Linked DNA regions of Anolis sagrei. The protein of the gene in region 1 purifies or fractionates together with the protein of each later gene. This does not show direct contact. Links are inferred from orthologs where the notes say so. Each region holds a gene or a part of one and is shown in the gene's direction. Other genes may lie near its edges. The genes, in order: NUMA1, EPB41L3 and EZH2.

What was found.
Region 2: the proteins of NUMA1 (region 1) and EPB41L3 purify together in Homo sapiens (affinity purification with mass spectrometry; 3 studies listed by BioGRID and IntAct, with this or other methods). This does not show direct contact. The link is inferred for Anolis sagrei from reciprocal best matches to the Homo sapiens genes NUMA1 and EPB41L3.
Region 3: the proteins of NUMA1 (region 1) and EZH2 purify together in Homo sapiens (affinity purification with mass spectrometry; 3 studies listed by BioGRID and IntAct, with this or other methods). This does not show direct contact. The link is inferred for Anolis sagrei from reciprocal best matches to the Homo sapiens genes NUMA1 and EZH2.

The regions. Positions count from the first base shown.
Region 1 is NC_090023.1:4,834,340-4,841,304, forward strand, and holds the start of NUMA1 (nuclear mitotic apparatus protein 1), read left to right. Parts: upstream 1-3,932; 5' UTR 3,933-3,962; coding exon 3,963-3,976; intron 3,977-6,965. UniProt on the Homo sapiens protein: Microtubule (MT)-binding protein that plays a role in the formation and maintenance of the spindle poles and the alignement and the segregation of chromosomes during mitotic cell division.
Region 2 is NC_090024.1:62,974,186-62,982,152, reverse strand, and holds the start of EPB41L3 (band 4.1-like protein 3), read left to right. Parts: upstream 1-4,883; 5' UTR 4,884-4,905; coding exon 4,906-4,957; intron 4,958-7,967. UniProt on the Homo sapiens protein: Tumor suppressor that inhibits cell proliferation and promotes apoptosis. Modulates the activity of protein arginine N-methyltransferases, including PRMT3 and PRMT5.
Region 3 is NC_090026.1:63,278,890-63,286,609, forward strand, and holds the start of EZH2 (histone-lysine N-methyltransferase EZH2), read left to right. Parts: upstream 1-4,649; 5' UTR 4,650-4,730; coding exon 4,731-4,786; intron 4,787-7,720. UniProt on the Homo sapiens protein: Polycomb group (PcG) protein. Catalytic subunit of the PRC2/EED-EZH2 complex, which methylates 'Lys-9' (H3K9me) and 'Lys-27' (H3K27me) of histone H3, leading to transcriptional repression of the affected target gene.

The DNA.
Region 1 (6,965 bases):
GAGGGCAGTCCTAGCAAGAGGCAAAGCAGGCCTCTCTTTCTCTGTGGCCTCCTTTCCTTGCAGGGTTTGCCAGATTGGGCGGCGTTCAAGGTCCCTGGGGCCCTTGCAGGAATGTGCCTCTTTCAAACAGCTGTTTCTAATGAGCGCCTGCAAAGGGATGTCTTGCAGTTCAGCAGGCAGCAAAAGAAAAGAAAAAAAAAACCCAAGCGGGATTTAAAATGAATTGCTTCTTATCTTCCAGGGGTAGTCTTTATATTCCATCAGTTTATTTATTTATTGTTTAAGCGATTAGCAGGAAATATAGTAACTCACTTGCCTTATGTTTATGTTAACCAAGTTCCAACTCCTTAAGTCTTAATTGCAGGGCCAACTTGTGTCAGGGTCTACTGCGGGTATTACTATACCGACCTGTTAATTGCAGAAGTTTATTTATTTATCGTGTCAGTATCAACCAGACAATTGTATTAAAATTTTAACAACAGACAAAACAAGAGTTTGCAAGCTTAGTAGTTGATTAAATGTCCTTTGACCAGTATCTGGCCCCTTGGAGTGCCTCTGGTGTTGCTGCAAGAAGGTCCTCCATTGTGCATGTGGCGGGGCTCAGGTTGCATTGCAGCAGGTGGTCAGTGGTTTGCTCTTCTCCACACTCGCATGTCGTGGGTTCCACTTTGTGGCCCCATTTCTTGAGGTTGGCTCTGCATCTCGTGGTGCCAGAGCGCAGTCTGTTCAGCGCCTTCCAAGTTGCCCAGTTTTCCGTGTGCCCATGGGGGAGTCTCATTTGGTATCAGCCATTGGTTGAGGTTCTGGGTTTGAGCCTGCCACTTTTGGACTCTTGCTTGCAGAGGTGTTCCAGCGAGTGTCTCTGTAGATCTTAGAAAACTCTTTCTTGATTTAAGTCGTTGACGTGCTGGCTGATACCCAAACAGGGGATGAGCTGGAGATGTCTCTGCCTTGGATTGCAGTAGTTGAGGTGACCTCTGTGTTGCAGTGAGGCCTTATCAGGCATGGGCAAACTTCTGCCCTCCGTGTGTTTTGGACTTCAACCTCCACAATTTCTAACACCCTACCGGCTGTTAGGAATTGCTGGGGTTGAAGTCCAAAACACACTGAGGGCAGAAGTTTGCCCATACCTACCTTAGATGGTGCCTTAGCTTGGACCTCTCTGTTATTTGCGAAAGTGACAGACAACAGTCATATTTTGGGAGGGCTTGGATTGTGTGCATTCCTACCTAGAGGAAGAGGGTTGGACCGAATGGCCTTGTGGGGAGTCTTCTTTCTTTTAGCTGCTTCTGGTTTATAACTAAACCTGGTTCTGGGTTGTTGTGAGTTTTCTGGGCTGTCTGGCCATGCTTCAGAAGCATTATCTCCTGACATTTCACCTGCATCTATGGCAGGAATCCTCTGAGGTTGAGAGAGGTCTGTTGAAAACTAGGAAAATGGGGTTGATATATCTGTGGAATGTCCAGGGTCGGAGAAAGAACTCATATTTTATGACCATCTAGGAATTTAAGATCTTCTGGGAAGGTCCTGCTCTTGGTCCTGCCTTCTTCACAGCTTCGATTGGTGGGGACGAGAGATAGGGGCTTCTCTGTGGTGGCCCCTCGGCTGTGGAAACCTCTCCTTAGGAACATTAGGGAGCTCTTAATATTATTAATATTTTGTTAAAAAGTCAAAACTTGGCTTTGTGAGCAGGCTTTCTCAAATGCAGTGTAGCAGATAACTTCTTGACCTCGAAACGACTGGACAATTGTGATCGTATAACGATTGGGTATTGAGATGTGGAGGATTTATGCATTTATTGATTTTACTGTTTATGTATGTTTTTTGGTCGTGTCAGGAGCAACCGCTCCTGTTGTGAGAGAATTGGCCGTCTGTAAGGACGTTGCCCAGGGGACGCCTGGATGATTTTTGATGCTTTATCATCCTTGTGGGAGGCTTCTCTCATGTCCCCACATGAGGAGCTGGAGCTAATAGAGGGAGCTCATCCGCCTCTCCCCGGATTCGAACCTGCGACCTGTCGGTCTTCAGTCCTGCCGGCACAGTGCTTTAGCCCTCTGCGCCACCGGGGGCTCCTGTATGTATGTTATATGCATTTTTATGGATGTTATATGCTTTAAGGACTTTTATGTGTGTTATATGCTTTAAGCTGTTTTTATATTATTGTGGCACCAAATTGTGCCATTTTGTAAACCGCCCTGAGTTGGCCTTGGGCTGAGAAGGGTGGTATAGAAATATAGTAAATAAATAAATAACATCTGTTGGAGCTAGGTGTGAATGTTTTAATTGGTCACCTTGATTACCATGAGGAGCGGCTTAAGGAGCTGGGCATGTTTAGCCTGAAGAAGAGAAGGCTGAGAGGAAACATGATAGCCATGTATAAATATGTGAGAGGAAGTCATAGGGAGGAGGGAGCAAGCTTGTTTTCTGCTGCCCTGGAGACTAAGGTGCAATGGAGCCATGGCTTCAAACTACAAAAAAGGAGATTCCACCTGAACATTAGGAAGAAGTTCTTGACTATGAGAGCCGTTCAGCAGTGGAACCCTCTGTATTGTCGAAGGCTTTCGTGGCCGGAATCACTGGGTTGTTGTAGGTTTTTTCGGGCTATATGGCCATGGTCTAAAGGCATTCTCTCCTGACATTTTGACCTCCCTACCTCTGAGGATGCTTGCCATAGATGCAGGCGAAATGTCAGGAGAGAATGCCTCTAGACCATGGCCATATAGCCCGAAAAAACCTACAACAACCCAGTGGAACTCTCTACCAGGGAGTGTAGTCGAGTGTGGTGGAGGCTCCTTCTTTGGAGGGTTTTAAACAGAGGCTGGATGGTCATCTGTCGAGGGTGCTTTGAATGTGATTGTCCTGCTTTTTGGCAGAATGGGGTTGGATTGGATGCCCCATGGGATCTCTTCCAACTCTAGGATTCTATGAACACAAGGAAGAACTTCCTGACTGTGAGAGCTGTTCAGCAGTGGAACTCTCTGCCCTGAGTGTGGTGGAGGCTCCTTCTTTTGAGGCTGGATGGTCATCTGTCAGGGGTGCTTTGAATGCGATTGTCCTGCTTTTTGGCAGAATGGGGTTGGACTGGATGGCCCATGAGATCTCTTCCAACTCTTTGATTCTATGATTCTAAGAACTTCCTGACTGTGAGAGCTGTTCAGCAGTGGAACTCTCTGCCCCGGAGTGTGGTGGAGGCTCCTTCTTTGGAGGCTTTTAAACAGAGGCTATATGTCAGGGATGCTTTGAATGCGATTGTCCTGCTTCTTGGCAGAATGGGGTTGGACTGGATGGCCTGTAAGGTCCCTTTCTTTCCTCTGCTTCTGGTTCATAAATAAACCTGGAGGAGGTTTCCTCCTGCAAGCTTCTTTAGGCCCAACTCGGGCTCTGGCCTGGCCTGCGCCTATTGGCTGTGACGTCAGCTGGCACCTCGCCTGTCTTGGGGGGGAGGGAGGCGGGGTTAGGGAAGGAGGGCGGGGCTGGAGGGAGAAGGGGGCGGGGCTTGTGCGGGCCTTGAGCAACAACTTTTCTTTCCTGGGGCGCCTGCGCGCGCCTTGGCCACCCTCCAGCCCTTCCTCCCTCCTTCCTCCTCTTCCAGGTTTCAAACGCTAATGACGGATTAAACATTTGGCGCCCAGAGAAAGAAAAACTGTTTGGCTTTGCTACTCCGGTAAGGCCTGGACAAAGGCAAAGGGGGGGGGGGTGCTTGCTTGTTGTTTCAGGAGGGAGGGAGGGAAGTAAATAAAGAGGGGGCTCCTGCCTGTGTCCGTCCCTAATTGCTTCCCCCTCCCTCCCTCTCTCTCTCCTTGGGAAGAGGAGGAGGCTCAGGCGAGCGCAGTTGGGCCTTCCACATCCGGGCACTTGCCTGCCTGCCTGGACGGGCCTTCCTCCTCTTAATCTAAGCCAGGAGGAGGGAGGGAGGGAGGAAGGCCTCAACATACAGCCAGGCAGTTTAGCAGTCTTTGAGGATGAAGCCTCGGAGGTTTGTTTGCCTTTCCCGCGCCTTCTCCTTCTGGACTCCTTATGAAGGCTTCCTGGTCCTTCCTCTGAAGGAGAGGCCTCCCTTTGTTCCTTCTGCAAGGCAAAATTCGGCCCTCCCCTCCAGGTGTTTTGGACTTCCAACTCCCACCATTCCCAACTGGGGGGCACCCAGTTGGGATTTCCTGGTTTAGCTGCCCAGAGGGATACCCTTGCTGTTGCTGGAGGGACACCAAGAGGAGTGGTAGTTCCCATAAAGCTTTTCCTTGATTTGAGTCTACTGGGAGGAGGCTGGTAGCCATGTAGTGGGTGGCTTTCACAGTGTTCAACCTTATTTCTCTTAAATTTAGCAGCAACTTCCCATCAAGTTTGCAGACGACACCAAATTGGGAGGGATAGCCAATAGTCCAGAGGACAGGAGCAGAATTCAAAACGATCTTGACAGATTAGAGAGATGGGCCAAAACTAACAAAATGAAGTTCAACAGTGACAAATGCAAGATACTCCACTTTGGCAGAAAAAATGAAATGCAAAGATACAGAATGGGGGACAATGCCTGGCTCGAGAGCAGTACGTGTGAAAAAGATCTTGGAGTCCTCGTGGACAACAAGTTAAACATGAGCCAACAATGTGATGTGGCGGCAAAAAAAGCCAATGGGATTTTGGCCTGCATCAATAGGAGCATAGTGTCTAGATCTAAGGAAGTAATGCTACCCCTCTATTCTGCTTTGGTTAGACCACATCTGGAATATTGTGTCCAATTCTGGGCACCACAATTCAAGAGAGATATTGACAAGCTGGAATGTGTCCAGAGGAGGGCAACTAAAATGATCAAGGGTCTGGAGAACAAGCCCTATGAGGAGCGGCTTAGGGAACTGGGCATGTTTAGCCTGAAGAAGAGAAGGCTGAGAGGAGACATGATAGCCATGTATAAATATGTGAGAGGAAGCCACAGGGAGGAGGGAGCAAGCTTGTTTTCTGCTTCCTTGGAGACTAGGACGCGGAACAATGGCTTCAAACTACAAGAGAGGAGATTCCATCTGAACATTAGGAAGAACTTCCTGACTGTGAGAGCCGTTCAGCAGTGGAACTCTCTGTCCCGGAGTGTGGTGGAGGCTCCTTCTTTGGAAGCTTTTAAGCAGAGGCTGGATGGCCATCTGTCAGGGGTGATTTGAATGCAATATTCCTGCTTCTTGGCAGGGGGTTGGACTGGATGGCCCATGAGGTCTCTTCCAACTCTTTGATTCTATGATCTAGCTTGTAGGGTTTATCAACAGGTGTAGGTTTAAGACATCCTGGGATAATTCTGCATCTTTCGTTCAATGCTATGTTCACCTGCTTTGCATGGGCAGACCTATGCCAAACAGGGCAGGTATACTCGGCAGTTGAGTCAGACAAGGCCACGGCTGATGTCCGTACTAATTTTGGGTCTGCACCCCATGTGCTGCCAGTAAGTTTCCGCATGATGTTTTTGCGTCTAATTGATAGTTACAGTAGAGCAGGCATGGGCAACATTTTCGCTTATCCAACATTCTGCTGGCCCATTTATGTTAGATAAGCGAGACTCTACTGCTTTGCTACAGCCCTGTTGCTGTGTGAATTGTCCTTCATAAACAGCAAAGAAACAAGTGTGAGGGCGACAAAGTGCACACTGAATCCCTTCTCCTGACAGCTAGTAATGAACCTTTGGTCCTCCTGATGATTTGCTCTCAGCTTCCAGAAGCTCCAGGCAGCATTGTGTGAATTGTAGCCCTCTAGAATGATTGACGGCTTTGACAGGAAAGCATTGTGGTTGTCACTACAGAGCGGGTGATAGTTGGTTTTCAGAAGGAGTGAATGCCTAAAAGATGCCCCTGCCACCTTCCCTGCTCTAACATATTGCACTAGGACAGCAAGACTGTCATGACAGCTAATATATTTACTGTGGTGCCTGCTTTTGTGCATCTAATTCTTCAGATGCATGAAGTGAGCCATGCTAAGGGATTCCTTGTTCCCACATGGGTATTTTTATTTTATTATTATTATTATTTAATTTTTAATTATCACATTTGGCCCAGCCATAAGTTTTTAAATGCTTGTTGTTTATTGTTACTGTTTATTGTTTATTTTGTTATGAGATTATTTTGATTGTTTTGTATTGATGTTTTGTGATTGCTTTAATTATTGTTGTTCTATGGCCTCGGCCTCATGTAAGCCAGGGAGATGGTAGCGGGATATAAATAAAGTATTATTATTATTATTTCTTTCATCTTTTGTGAATGTTGTTCCTAAAAGTAGGAAAGGAAGAAAGTGTTTTCTCCTTTCTTTATGACACGTTTTTATTTAATGTGTGCACCGTGCATCTTGTAAGAAAGTTGGAGAAAGAAATTTTTGGAGAAAGTTGGAATAGAGATAAGTGTTGCTTGCCACTCTATTTTACACCCACCTGCACCCCAATTCTTTTTCCCCATATACTTAATTGTTGTGGGCGAGCAAGCCAATTCTTTCCTCTTCCTTGGGCCCCATTTTCTTTTATTTCAAGTGACCTGATATTTAAGCATTTAGCCATAGACTTAGTTTTATGGATCTGCATGACTCTTCTGTTCTTCAGCTAGGCAGAAATGAGAGTGGACTGTTTTGTCAAAATTCTGTAGGTCCTGAAAGGCCGTGTGGATTTTGATTGTTGCCTAGTAAAGATACTACTTATTTGTCAATTTTTAGATGGGGACCTGGATGACTGTCTTTCTTACATTGTTAGAATTAGTGAAATGAACAACCATATGTTTCTTAGAAGCCTCCAGTGCAACTGCATGTGCTCAAGCCAATCAGTAGCTGTTGAGTTTTAATGTATGTCAAAGGCTTTCATGACCGGAATCACTGGGTTGTTGTAGGTTTTTTCGGGCTATATGGCCAAGTTCTAGAGGCATTCTCTCCTGACGTTTCGCCTGCATCTATGGCAAGCATCCTCAGAGGTAGTGAGGTCTGTTGGAACTAGGAAAAAGAGTTTATATAGC
Region 2 (7,967 bases), on another chromosome or scaffold:
ACACAAAATAAATAAATCATGTAGATGGGCACTTAGTCCAGACGGACACCCCTCTCCTTCCACATTTCATCTCTGCCAGGAGCAGGTCTGTAGGAAAGCAAAGGGATCTTCATTGCCATTTCCAGATCCAAATTCATCAGGATGAACTCACAAAAATAGGCTGCTGCTAAAAGTCCATTTTTTCCATCTTTACCCAGGACAGGAGCCCAGCTCAGAAAGACCAGAAAGGAGGAAACCTGATGGTGTCATCATGGCTGCCAATCAAAAAGGGATTCCATTCTTGGAGTCCCAGATCTGTTATGCCACTGCTCTGCAAACATACATATTTTTAGTCTTGCTATCTCACTGTGTGGCACAGTGACAGTTTGATCTGCATAGGTCTGTTAGGAATAAGCATGGGTACAGTGGTTTGCTGTGAGTTTTCTGGGGTGTATGGCCATGTTCCAGAAGCATTTTCTCCTGATGTTTCACCCACATCTATGGCAGACATCCTCAGAGGTTGTGCAGTACAAAAGAAACTAAGCAAAGGAGGTTTATATATCTGTGGAAGGTCCAGGGTGGGAGAAAGACTCTTGTCTGCTGGAGGCAAATATGATTGTTGCAATTGATCACCTTGATTAGCATGGAATGGCATTGCAGCTTCAAAGCCTGGCTGCTTCCTGAATTAAGTTGTCCTGAATCTCCATTCAGGGGTTGAGAAGGACGGGGTAGAAATACTAGAAATAAATAAATAAATTTTGATCTCAAACATTTTCCCCCACAGCCGCTTAAGCGCTTAAGTGGCTGTGGTGAAGATGAAAGGGCCTGAGGCTGTCATGAATGATGGGAGTTGAAGTCCAAAACACCTGGAAGTCTGACTTGGCCATGGTAGCCCACGCTCTGGTTACATCCCGTATGGACGACTGCAATGCTCTCTACGTGGGGTTGCCTTTGAAGGCTGTTCGGAAGCTTCAAATGGTCCAAGTTGTTAACAGGAGCGGCGCACAGGGCACACACAACTCCTCTTTTGCGTCAACTCCACTGGCTGCCAGTTTGCTACCGAGCACAATTCAAAGTGCTGGCTTTAGCCTATAAAGCCCTAAATGGTTCTGGGCTGCCATTCAGCTTACCTGTCCAAACATATCTCTCCTTATGAACGATCTAAGACCCTAAGATCTTCTGGGGAAGCCCTGCTCTCGGTCCCGCCTTCTTCACAGACTTTGTTGAGGGGAACAAGGGACAGGGCCTTCTCAGCGGTGGCCCCTCGGCTATGGAACGCCCTCCCTAGGGATATCAGATTGGCCCCCACCCTCTTAACATTCTGAAAAAAAGTTAAAACCTGGCTTTTTGAGCAAGCTTTCCCAAATGCAGTGTAGCAGACAAACTCTGATCTTGGGAACGACTGGACAATGCCATTGTGTAATGATTTTGGTAATGAGACACTGTGGATTTATATTTTCATTGGTTTTATTTTATTTTATCAAATGTTATTTATGCTAAATGTTTTAATTGTTCTTTGTTTTGTAGGCATCGAATGGTGCCATTTGTAAACCACCCTGAGTCGCCTTCGGGCTGAGAAAGGCGGTATATAAATATGGTTAATAAATAAATGCTGGATCGGGGTATAGGGTGGCAACCTATGCTGGATAGGGTTGCACTCCCCCTGAAGTCACAGGTCTGCAACCTGGGTGTCCTCCTGGATTCATCACTTACACTTGAAGCTCAGGCGTCAGCGATGGCTGGGAGGGCCTTTGCACAATTAAGACTCGTGCGCTAACTGCGACCGTATCTTGTGAAGTCGGATCTGGCCAGGGTGGTCCATGCCTTTGTCACCTCCAGATTGGATTACTATAATGCACTCTACGTGGGGCTGCCCTTGAAAACGGCCTGGAAATTTAAATTGGTATACTAACTGGTGCGACTTACAGAGAGTGGTCAACCCTCCTGTTTAAGGAGCTCCACGGGCTGCCATTCATTTTCCGGTCCCAATTCAAGGAGCAGGTTCTTACCTATAAAGCCCTGAATGGTTTGGGACCCGTCTACCTGCGTGACCGCATTTCTGTGTATCTCTTTGATCATCTGGAGAGGCCCTGCTCGCACTCCCACCTCCTTCGCAGGTGTGATTGGTGGGGACGAAGGAGAAGGCCTTCTTGGTGGTGGCCCCCCAACTCTGGAACTCACTTCCCAAGGACATCAGGCATGTCCCAACTCTGGCAGTCTTTAGGAGGAGCCTGAAAACGTGGTTGTTCCAGTGTGCCTTCCCAGAATAAGGAAAATTCTCAGCAATACGCCCTCAAAATGCACTTTACCACTGATTTAGGATTGACTGTGTTCCCTCATCTCTCTTTGAAATATACCAGTTATATCCTACCTTGTTCATGCCCAGCGTTATTTTTTTAATTTTTTAAACTATTACATTTGGCCCGGCCATAGGTTTTTAAATCCTTATTGTTTATATGTGTTATATGTATTAACTGCATTGTATTTATTGTTTTTGTTTATTGCTTTTGTTTATTGAGGTACTGTTGGGCTTGGCCTCATGTAAGCTGTTCCGAGTCCCTTGGGGAGATGGTGGCGGGGTATAAATAAAGTTATTATTATTATTATTATTATTATTATTATTATTATTACATAAATAAAGAGCCCCCCTGTGTATTACCGTCTATGCAGGAGGCTCCTTCCTCGCCCTTCTGAGGGAAGCCACTGAGCGCCTTGAGTCTCCCACCAGGAAAGGGAAGGGAGGGCGGGCACGCGGGAGCCGGGCACGGGCCAATGGGGAGACGCTTCTGCGGGCGGGGGGCGTGGCTACGGGGCTGTGGGGCGGCCTCTCGGCGCGCGCCCAGGACGAGGAGCAGTGCTGCTCCTGGCGCTGCAGGTGGAGGAGAGCTTCTCCTCCTCCTCCTCCTCCTTTTCCTCGGGAGCTTTGGAAGCGCGGATTCCTCCCAGCGCTCTCCTCCTCTTCCTCCTCCTCTTCTCTCTTCCTCCGCACTTTTCCTTCAGGGCGCCGGAGCAGCGTCCCATTCTTCCTCAGGTGAGCCTCCTCCTCCTCCTCCCGGGACTTTGGGAAGGGCGCGCGTGGGGTGGACGGGGCAGGGAAGGACCCCCGAGAAAGAGAGCGCGCGACCTGTCCTTGGTTTGAGGTCAGCGGGGACAGATGCCGCTTTTGCCTCCCCCCTGCAAGGAAGCCTGCTTGAGTGGGGGACGAAAAGGAGCCGGACACGCGTCTACGCATCCATACGAGCTCGTAGACGCGTGTGTGGGAGCCCTCCTGGCCCGCGCTCAGCCTTAAGCCCTCCCCCCGCCCTGCCCGCCTGCTTGCCCAGGTCGGCCCTTGGAGGGGTCAGCGCCAGTGCGCCTGCGCGGGAGGGGGCCGGCTAATCCTCTCTTGATCCCCCTCCGTCCCCGGTCCCTCCAGCCAGGAAGAATCCTTGTCGCCTTCCTTTGCGTGACAGAGACCTCTTTCCCTCCGTCCCCAGCCTTTCAGCCTTCCCGGCTCTCCAGTACTAGAGTTAGGATCTCCCATGCTGACTGTCCTATTCCCCATGTCCGTATATGTTTGGGAAAGCTGGACATTGCAGAAAGCTGAGAAGAAGGAAAGCAACTCCTCGAAAAGGAGTGTATACTGGACTGCTGGAAAGACCTACCGCAAATCAAGACTGGAACACTCTCCAGAAGGCAAGACAATTTAAGGACTGCTATCCTTTGGACGTACTGTGAGAAATCATGGCTCCATCGCAAAGACAATATCTTGCTTGGTAAGGTAGTACTTAGGCGATTCCTGTTGTCCAAGTAGGATTGTCTTCCAAGATTGGTGTCCTGGTGGTGGGTCCATAGGTGACTGTGGAGACCTATTCTTGATCTGCATGTTCTCCTTCAGTGAGGGCATTGGTTTCCAGGTGGAAGGTGGTCCCGATCGGGGTTGGCTTGATGTGCCTTCCTCTTGGCACATTTATCCCTTTCACCCTCCATTTGTGCCTCTTCAAATTCTACAGCACTGCTGGTCACAGCTGACCTCCAGCTGGAGCGCTCAAGGGCCAGGGTTTCCCAGTTCCCACTGTCTATGCTAAGGTTGGCTTTGAGCCCATCTCTAAATCTCTTTTCATGCCCACCAACATTCTGTTTTCTGTTCTTGTTGTCCAAGTATGATGGCTTTCCAAGCGTAGTGTCTTGGCAGTGGGTACATAGGTGACTGTAGAGCCCTATTCTTGACCCACATGTTATTCCACAGTGAGGACATCGACAATCAGACAAGAGAAAGACCACACTCCAGGTGGATATATCAAGAAAGACAGTCTCTGCATCTGCAGGACTTGTATGGCAGTGTGACTTGGAGATCTCTCATTCCTGGGGTCACCCTGCATCAACGATGACAGTTAGCAACAATTGATGGACTTATCAAGGTGATTAATTGCAACATCCACACTTGCCTCCAACAGACAAGAGTTCTTTCTCCCACCCTGGACTTTCCACAGATATATAAACCTCCCTTGTCTAGTTTCCAGTATAGCTCACAACCTTTGAGGATGCCATAGGTATGGATGAAACATCATGAGAGAAAGCTTCTCAAAAAAAGGCTATACAGCCAGGAAAACTCAGAGCAACCCAATTGATGGACTCTTATGGTGTTGATGGCAGGGTGACTTGGAGGTCTCTCATTTGTGGAGTCACCCTAAATCAAAGTCAGTGATGATGGTTATCAACAATTGATGGAATCTTATGTTATTGATGACAGGGTGATGTGGAAGTCTCTCTAAATGTCAAGATGACTGAAAATGAGATGGATGTACTTTGGACATATGGAAAGGCATGACTCCCTAGAAAAGACAATGCTTGGTGAAATAGAAGGCAGTAGGAAAAGAGGAAGACCACATTCCAGATGGATATATCAAGGAAGACATGTCCCTGGGCATTGAATGATTGCCTTTTATGTTTGGAATCTGCCCTGAGTCCCTTTGGGGAGCTAGAGTGGAATATAAAGGTTTTTATTATTATTATTATTATTATTATTATTATTATTATTAGTGATTCTGAAAGATTTGAGTCAGGGTATGGATGACAGGGTGACATGGAGGTCTCTCATTTATGGGGACACCATAAATCGAAGTTGACTTGATGACAGTTCGCAACAATTGATTGATTCGTATGTATTTTCAGTTCAGTATCAAGACCAACTTTGGCTCCCCAACTTCTCACTGCCCATATGTATCTGGATAAAAGCAAACCTCATCTCACGGCTTGTGCCTTGTGGGTTGTTCCTTCAATTCAAGCAGAAGGTTGGGGATCTTTTCTTCTGTCTGTTCTTCATATTCTTTATAAGCTTCTTTCTAATGTTTTTAACCTGTTTGCTCTTGGCAGAAATTCAGGTTGCGTTCTCAGCCCCTCCACAAATAGCCAATGGTTTGTGTGGGCAGGATGGAATGCAAGGTGCTGTCTTCATTTCCATCTTTCAGTAAAATAGAAAAAGGAAGGCTCACATACTGAAGGAGACTGGATAGTATTCTGGAAAGAAGCTGCTGTATATTTGTGGGGATACCATATTCTCTTCCAATTTTTTAAGTCTAGTTTATTTATCTCTTGAGCTCAAAATGTTTTTATGAGGTCTGTGTTCTTCATTTTTCTTAGATTTCTGTAAGTGTGTGCACTGTATGAACCTGATAGTGTTTCTCTCTTACTTATCATTTGCAATTCTTTTCCCCCATCGAGAGGGAATAGGATTTGAAACAGGCGGAAGGCTCTTGCCTCTCAGCAGATGGTTGGTCTGGATTGTGAGTGGGGTGTGTGCTGGAACGAATCTAGGCACACAGGAGATTCTTGCTGTCTCATACCCACAGCAGGATCAAGTGATGGTGCAGAAGGGACTGTGGGCACCCTGCAGTGCCGCCTGTGGGGGAAACAACAATCAGGCGCTCTAAGGAAGCTGGTGGCATGGCATTAATAGATACATAAGCAGCCGTAATGAACAGTGTGTGGGCGATGTGAGATTTTCCTTTCCAAGAAAGGAAACCTGTTCTTTGGCTTTTAGGATGACTGGACTTCTGCTGGCCATCATTTCTGTGTTTGCTAAATTTCTTGGGTCCTCTTGATTGGAAGGAATTAATTGATTAATTTCTTTAATGCAGTAATGCCTTGATGTCTTGCCTTCTTTATAAACATAAAGCAAATGTCACTGGTTTGCTTTACTAAAATACATTACTAGTATTTATGTACATCAGACGTATACTTGCAGAAATTCATTTGTCATATTCTTTCATTTTTCCTTACTGTGTGTTTTTGATATGCTTCCATAGTCCTTGTATCAAACCTTTTGTATTCTGTTGAATTTCTCGATGAAGGTAATAGTTTGTGATAATTAGTAAAAAGAAAGAAAAGGTAGCCAGGCAATTATATCTTTTCCCTCTTACTGGCTTACATTTTCAACTAGTGCGCATGTGCATGCACGAATACAATTTGACTCTGCTGTGTTTGAATCTTAGTAAATAATATTTGTCTCCTTCCATGTAGCTTGATATTCTAGGGGATGGTGAGGAAATGAAAATAATATAGTGGCCACCATATACTGTACATAAATGTGTGTGTGTGTTCCCTTCCACATAGCTGAAGAAAATCCTACATTTTCTGCTTTGAACTGGGATATATGGCAGTGTGGACTCAGATAACCCAGATCAAAGCAGATATTGTGGAATTTTCTGCTTTGATGTTCTGGGGAATATGGCTGTGTGGAAGGGCCCTGTGTGTGTGTGCCTCTAAATCCCTGCCTTCCATTATTTTTTTCCTTACCTCACCCGCTGGCTCCAAATGGGAATCAAAGAGTAACGGGTGAGGAAACAGTAACTGATAAGCATGCCAGTTTCCCTCTCCAGCTACTTTAGCTGTGGGAGAGAAAAACTTTAAAGGCCCTCCTTTATCTCCAAGAGTAATTAGGATCCTTTTTTTAGTAAGCTTATGTTGGGGTTCTTCTTAAAGCTGGACTCCTTCCAAGAGTGGCTATGTTTATCTTTGTCTCTGCAGAATACAGTTGTTTCACACGCTGGCTGCGGCTTGTGCCTCCCCTGCAGTTCAGTGACATTACAGCGAGCTCTGCTTAAGCTAATTGCTGATTGTCCGAACAAGTAGCTGAAAGGAGAGGAGACTCGCGGTTCTGATAGGAGCTGGGCAGTTTGATTTCATTAGACCAAAGGCACGGAAGTGAGAGAGCACTTGACTGGGTGGGTCTATTGCAACCTTAGGAAGGGATGGGTAAGGATTATGCTGAAAGTTGTTTCCAAAGGGCAATCCACAGATAGGGAAGGGTTAAAGTGCATTAATGAGTAATAATGCTCAGAGTCCATATTTAAAGACAGCATCAGCAGATTCAGTCTGTGCTTTGCCAGTGTCAGGTAGGTCCTGAAGGTTTCAGGGTTATGGCAGTAATTATGACTTGTACTTATGACCGCCTTGAGTCCCGTCTTGGGTGAGAAAGGCAGGATATAAATATGGTAAATAAATAAATAATAATGAATATGAACTATGCCAAAACTATTTTGTGCAATTGAATCCTGACTGATTAATAGTTGGTTAATTCTTTCTCTCTGGAATGTAATGAACAGTTATTCTGATATAGTTTTCTTGGTCCCACTTTTCAAATTCATTAAAGAATTGGTCATATAAGTAGGATAATAAAAGGTTCCAGCATGGAGTGAATCTGTTCAAGGCTTCAGTTAGCCCAGCCATTTGGCATGTTCATCTTTTAAGAAATATTTTTTTTACTGAATTTTAAAAAGTATTCTACAAACAAAGGCAGCATTCTAAACCTGCTGATACTGCACTCATGTATCTGAATTGTGTGTATGTGTTTTGTTTGGCTGCTAAAGTATCCATGTATTCATGCTGGCCACATGACTTTGGAGGTGTCTACGGACAACGCTGGCTTTTCAGCTTAGAAATGGAGATGAGCATCAACCCCCAGAGTCAGACACGACTGGACTTAATGTCAGGGCTAAACCTTTACC
Region 3 (7,720 bases), on another chromosome or scaffold:
GTGATGGGGCCTGCCTCATGTCTTTGGGGAGAGAGTTCCAGAGTCAAAGGGCCACCACAGAGAAAGCCCTATCCCTCGTCCCCACCAATCGCGCTTGCGATGCAGGTGGGATCGTGAGCAGGGCCTCTCCAGATGAACAAAGAGATCGTGTGGGTTCGTACACAGAGATGCGGTCACACAGGTAGGCAGTTTCCAAACTGTTTAGGGCTTTGTAGGTAAGCACCTGCACCTTGAATTGGGACCGGAAAATGAAAGGCAGCCAGTGAAGCTCTTTAAACAGGAGGGTTGACCTCTCTCTGTAAGAAGCACCAGTTAGCAACCGGGCTGCCGCTCGTTGGACCAATTAAAATTTCCGGGCCGTTTTCAAGGGCAGCCCCAGGTAGAGTGCATTACAGTAGTCCAATCTGGAAGTGACTAAGGTGTGGACCACCCTGGCCAGATTCGCCTTTACGAGGTACGGTTGCAGTTGGCGCACGAGTCTTAATTGTGCAAAGGCCCTCCCGGCCACCGCCGACACCTGAGCTTCAAGCGACAGTGATGAGTCCAGGAGGACCCCCAAACTGTGGACCTGTGACTTCTCCTCTCATCCCTCTCAGGGCAGCAGAAAACAAACTTTCTCCCTCCTCCCTGTGGCTTCTTCTCACATACTTATATATGGCTATCATGTCTCCGCTCAACCTTCTCTTCTTCAGGCTAATCATGCCCAGCTCCTTAAGCTGCTCCTCATAGGGCTTGTTCTCCAGACCCTTGATCATTTTAGTCGCCCTCCTCGGGGCACATTCCAGTTTGTCTCTTCAATTGTGGTGCCCAGAATTGGACACAATATTCCAGGTGTGGTCTAATCCAAGGCGGAACACTTTATTATTTATTTATTTACTTTATTTCTATACCGCTTTTCTCAGCCCGTTAGGCGACTCAATGCGGTTTACATAATACAGGTTATCACAACAGTATCATAAGCAATTAAAACACATTATACATAGACTCATAGACTCATAGAATCAAGAGTTGGAAGAGACCTCATGGGCCATCCAGTCCAACCCCATTCTGCCAAGAAGCAGGAATATTGCATTCAAATCACCCCTGACAGATGGCCATCCAGCCTCTGTTTAAAAGCTTCCAAAGAAGGAGCCTCCACCACACTCCGGGGCAGAGAGTTCCACTGCTGAACGGCTCTCACAGTCAGGAAGTTCTTCCTCATGTTCAGATAGAATATCCTCTCTTGTAGCTTGAAGCCATTGTTCCACGTCCTAGTCTCCAGGGAAGGAGAAAACAAGCTTGCTCCCTCCTCCCTGTGGCTTCCTCTCACATATTTATACATGGCTATCATATCCCCTCTCAGCCTTCTCTTCTTCAGGCTAAATGTGTCCAGCTCCTTAAGCCGCTCCTCATGGGGCTTGTTCTCCAGACCCTTGATCATTTTAGTCGCCCTCCCCTGGACACATTCCAGCTTGTCAACATCTCTCTTGAATTGTGGTGCCCAGAATTGGACACAATATTCCAGGTGTGGTCTAACCAAAGCAGAATAGAGGGGTAGCATTACTTCCCTAGATCTAGACACTATGCTCCTATTGATGCAGGCCCCATAACAGACAAAATCAAAAACAATCATTATCATATCATAACGCCTCAACAGCAAATCAGAATCCGTTCTCATAATCCTTGTACCTTTTTCCTATGTTCGATTTTACCGTTTTCCTGTATTCATTTGCACTGTTTAGCCAAACGCTTGTTCGTAAAGCCAAGTCTTAACCTTCCTCCGGAACGCCAACAGCGAAGGGGCCTTTCTGATGTCTACAGGTAAGGCATTCCACAGCCGAGGGGCCACCACCGAGAAGGCCCTGTCCCTCGTCCCCGCCAAACGCGCCTGTGATGCAGGCGGGATCGAGAGCAGGGCCTCCCCAGATGATTTTAATGTCCTAGTCGGTTCATAGGTGGAGATGCGTTCGGAGAGGTAAGTAGGGCCGGAACCGTTTAGGGCTTTATAGGCTAACGCCAGCACCTTGAATTGTGCCCGGTAGCAGATTGGCAGCCAGTGGAGCTGGCACAAGAGAGGAGTGGTATGCTCCCTGAGTGCCGTTCCTGTTAGCAACCTGGCTGCGGAGCGCCGAACCATTTGAAGCTTCCGAGTAGTCTTCAAAGGCAACCCCACGTAGAGTGCGTTGCAGTAATCTATGTGGGATGTAACCAGAGTGTGGACTACCATGGTCAAGTCAGACTTCCCAAGGTACGGGCGCAGCTGGCGCACATGTTTGGTACTTATTATTATTTGTTGTTTCTGGTTTATGCAAGGTGCTATTTGTTTATGTTTTTTTTGTGGGGAGGTGATGTTGTGCTTTTTGTGTCATGGGATTTCTGTTGTTTTAACCACAGTTCTCCCAGGTATGGGAGAAAAGCGGGATAAAAATATAAATAAATAGTAATAATAGTCGGATTCAAGATGGTTCTGTACCTACACAACAATGGTGGCTCCTAACAGCAGCAGCCAAAGCCATGGTATTCCCTGTAGTAACCTATGGACGTGAGAGCTGGACCTTAGGGAAGATCGATGCTTTTGAGCTGTGGTGTTGGAGGAAAGTTCTGAGAGTGCCTTGGACTGTGAGAAGATCCAACCAGTCCATCCTCCGGAAATGAAGCCCGACTGCTCATTGGAGTGAAGGATACTAGAGACAAAGCTGAAGTACTTTGGCCACATCATGAGGAGACAGCAAAGCCTAGAGAAGACAATTATGCTGGGGAAAGTAGAAGGTAAAAGGAAGAGGGGCCGACCAAGGGCAAGATGGATGGATGGCATCCTTGAAGTGACTGGACTGACCTTGAAGGAGCTGGGGGTGGTGACGGCCGACAGGGAGCCCTGGCGTGGGCTGGTCCATGAGGTCACGAAGAGTCAGAGACGACTGAATGAATGAACAACAACAAGCTGTCACCTGCCACGCGTTGCTGTGGCTGTCTGGTGATCTGGAAAATAAAGCAATGAGAAGTGTTGGTTTCCAATATATGTAATGTCTTTATGCTTGTGAGTAAATAGTATTTCTTGCAGTTTCTTTGCCAGTGTTGATGTGGCGATTGTCTGGTTTGCCTACTGTGGAACACGCAACATATCATGTTGTTGTTCATTCGTTCAGTCGCCTCCAACTCTTCGTGACCTCATGGACCAGCCCACGCCAGAGCTTCCTGTCGGCCGTCACCACCCCCAGCTCCTTCAAGGTCAGTCCAGTCACTTCAAGGATGCAACATATCATAGTCCTTCTTTAAGGGTCCCTTTCAAATCTATGATACTATATCTGTGTGTGTGTGTGAGAGAGAGAATCGTATCTATCTTTATGACTGGATGGCTCTGATTACATTACTAGAAATCCCCAATGTCTATTTCCTCCAAACTCCATCTGTGTTCATATTTGGGCATATGGAATATTCGTGCCAAATTTGGCCCAATTCCATCATTGGTGGAGTTCAGAATGCTTTGATTGTAGGTAAACAATAAATCCCAGCAACTACAACTCCCAAATGACAAAATCAATTTCTTTGAGTGAAGGACATACATTGGGTTGTTAGGTGTCTTGTTTCCAAATTTGGTGTCAATTCATCTAGTGGTTTTTGACTTCTGTGAATACCACAAACGAACATTACCTTTTTCTTTATATATACTAGCTGTCCCCTGCCAAGTGTTGCTGTGGCCTAGTCTGGTGATCTGGAAAATAAAGTAATGAGAAAGTGTTGGCTTCTAATATATGTAATGTCTTTATGCGTGTGATTTATATAGATAGTCGGATTCAAGATGGTTCTGTACCTCCACAACAATGGTGGCTCCTAACAGCAGCAGCAGAGAGAGAGACGCACCTCAACTGTAAGCCAGACCCGACTGTTTGTGGAAACAGGCCTCCCCCCCCCCCCCCCCAAATCCAGCAACAGGCGTCGAGGGGGCCGGGCGCAGAGCCCCGCCTGAGGGGCGGCCAGGCTCCCCCATTCCCCCCGGCCGCGCGCGCGCAAAGGCAGCCACGGCTGTTAGAACCGTTAACGGCCTCCCGCCCTCCTGCCTTGCAACGGGGCTGAGGCGGTCCACTTCCTCCTGAGGGAGAGAGCTTGCCCCGCGCGCCCAGCGAAGAAACCACATTTGAAAAAGAGGAACCGAGGCAACTCCCGCCTTCTTCTAAACAGCGCGAGAACAAAGAACTTCCCCCTCTTTCCCGCCCTGCACGTGGGGGGCGCGCGCAAGCCCCCGCCCCTCGGGCCCAGGACGCCGAGGATTGGCTGAGACCCGGCTACGGGGGGGCGGGGAGAGCGCGGTTCGTCCAATCCGGACGACGGCAGCTTCTCTCCAATGAGAGCCGGGGCCATTTGGCCGCCGCCGGGTTTGGCGCTCTGTTGTCCGGAGCCGAAGAAGAGGAGGAGGAGGAGGAAAGAAGAAGGAGAAGAAGGGAGAAGTGAGCGGGGCGGCGTGACGGACGGGAGGCGAGCCGAGAGAGGGGCGCCGCGGGCCCGGCGAGGAGGGGGTAAGCGCGCGAGCGAGTGAGGGAGCCGGACAGAGACAGGCAGACACACCCGCTTCGAGTTCTTTGTCGTGCTTGGGGGTGGGAGGGGGGGGAGGGGCGCCTACAAGTGAGCGAGGGGGCGTGGCTTCCTGTGAAAGACAGGTGGGGCGGGGCCTTCCTCAATGGGGAGAGAATGGGAAAGGTAAGCGGGGAGAGGCGAAGCTAGTCTACAGGAGAGTGAATGAAGAGCCCGGGAAAATGAACATGCTACGGGGAAAACAGGTGGAAATGACTGAAGTCGTGCTCGTGAGCAGGTGAGGGCGCCTCATTGGGAGGGAGGGAGAGAGACATTACTCATTGGCATTACTTAGGCCAGTGTTTCTCAACCTGGGGGTCGGGATCCCTGGAGGGGTCGCCAGAGGGGTCACCAAAGACCACCAGAAAACACAGTATTTTCTCTTGCTCAGGGAGGTTCTGTGTGGGAAGTTTGGCCCAATTCAATCCTTGGTAGGGTTCAGAATGCTCTTTGGTTGTAGGTGAACTATAAATCCCAGCACTTACAACTCTCAAATGTCAAGGTCTATTTTCCCCAAACTCCGCCAGTGATTACATTTGGGCATATTGAGAATTCGTGCCTTTGATTGTAGGTAAACTATAAATCCCAGCAACTACAACTCCCAAATATCAAGGTCTGTTTTCCCCAAACTCCACCAGTGTTTACATTTGAGCATATTGAGAATTCGTGCCTTTGATTGTAGGTGAACTATAAATCCCAGCACTTACAACTCTCAAATGTCAAGGTCTATTTTCACCCAACCCCACCAGTGTTTACATTTGGGCATATTGAGAATCCGTGCCTTTGATTGTAGGTGAACTGTAAATCCCAGCAACTACAACTCTCAAATGTCAAGGTCTATTTTCCCCAAACTCCGCCAGTGTTTACATTTGGGCATATTGAGAATTCGTCCCTTTGATTGTAGGTAAACTATAAATCCCAGCAACTACAACTCCCAAATGTCAAGGTCTGTTTTCCCCAAACTCCACCAGTGTTTACATTTGAGCATATTGAGAATTCATGCCTTTGATTGTAGGTGAACTATAAATCCCAGCAACTACAACTCTCAAATGTCAAGGTCTGTTTTCCCCCAACTCCACCAGTGTTTACATTTGGGCATATTGAGAATTCGGGCCTTTGATGGTAGGTGAACTATAAATCCCAGCAACTACAACTCCCAAATATCAAGGTCTATTTCCTCCCAACCCCACCAGTTTGGGGAATATTGAGAATTTGGGCATATTGAGAATTCGTGCCTTTGATTGTAGGTGAACTATAAATCCTGTTATCATATAATTGTGTAGGAGCCGCTGGATGATCACAAATTCGTCAATTTTTTGGAGCACTTATAACTCTCAAATGTCAAGGTCTATTTCCCCAAAACTCCACCAGTGTTTACATTTGGGCATATTGAGAATGCGTGCCTTTGATTGTAGGTGAACTATATATCCCAGCACTTACAACTCTCAAATGTCAAGGTCTATTTTCCCCAAACTCCACCAGTGTTTACATTTGGGCATATTGAGAATTCGTGCCAAGTTTGGTCCAGATCCATCATTGTTTGAGTCCACAATGCTCTCTGGATGTAGGTGAACTACAACCAGGGGCGCTCTTGGGGGAAAATAGACCTTGACATATGCGAGTTGTAGTTACTGGGATGTATAGTTCACCTAAAATCAAAGAGCATTCTGAACTCTACCAATGATGGAATTGAACCAAATAGGGCACACAGAACTTCCATGATGAACAGAAAATATATATCAATGAGTGGGTGGGTGGGTTGGTTTGCTTACCGTTGAAAATTACCTAGGGCCGCCTCTGACTACAACTCCCAAAACTCAAGGTCAATGCCCACCAAACCCTTTCAGTATTTTCTATTGGTCATGGGAGTTCTGTGTGCCAAGTTTGATTCAATTCCATCCTTGGTGGAGTTCAGAATGCTCTTTGATTGTAGGTGAGCTATAAATCCCAGCAACTACAACTCCCACAGGACAAAATCAGTACCCTCCCCCAATCCCACCAGTATTCAAAATTTGGGTGTATTGGGTATTTGTGCCAAATTTGGTCCAGTGTATGAAAATACATCCTGCATATCAGATATTTACATTACTATTCATAACAGCAGCAAAATGGCAGTTATGAAGTAGCAATGGAACTAATTTTATGGTTGGGTGTCACCATAACATGAGGAAGCGTATTAAGGGAGCGTGGCATTAGGAAGGTTGAGAAGCACTGACTTAGGTGATCTCTCCTTGCCAGAATATGTTGGCCCTTCAAGTGTTGTGTCTTGGTGGTGGATATCTAGGTGGCTATAGAGCCCTCTTCTTGACACGCATGTTCTTCCACAGTGAGGGTCATATCATGATAAGACATGGCTTACCAGAAAAAACAACGTTCAGCTAGGTGTAAGGTAGTTTCCCCTCCCCTTATTTGTTTACTTTTTTTGAAAACCATGCAGTTAACAATACATCATAGTACAAACTTTGACAGTATATGAATTAATATAGATGACTATTTTCAATTTTTGTAACTATGTTACAGTTTCAGTTTTTACTTTTTCAATATAGAATGTTAGTTTCCCTTTGAATCCCCCCTCCCTACCCTCAAATGGGTCAGCTTGTATCAATATTTATTTATTTGCTATCTGTACCTGCCATGTGTTGCTGTGGCCAACCTTCCCTCCCTCTTTCTCTCCTCTTTTCTTTCTCCTTCCTTCCCTTTCTTTCATTCTTTCCTTCCTTGTCTTCCTCTTCCCTTCCTTCCCCCCTTTTCTTTCCCTTCCTCTTTCTCCGCTTTCTTCCTTCTCTGCCTATTCTTGGACTGCACCTCCCAGCACTCCTTCTGATCAATCTATCCACATACCTATTTGTCTATCTATCTTATCTATCTGGAGGATTGCTGGGAGTTGCAGTCCAGGAATAGGAAATTGGAAATATGCAGGGATTGGGATGCTTTCAAAGACATCCAAGGAGAAGAATGCTTGCAGCTTGGAAGCAGTGCATTTGGCTCATCCTCCTCCTCTAAAGGGCCGGGTCTAGGGGATACTGGGAACTGTAGTCCAGAAGAGAGGGTGGATATGCTATTGTGTGTTTTGTTTGCTAAAGGGAGTTGTTATTGTGCATGTATTGTAGTGTCTTTTTGCTTTTTTGGCTTTTTAAGTCCCTTCTGTTATGTTTTTCAGTGTTTTCATGAG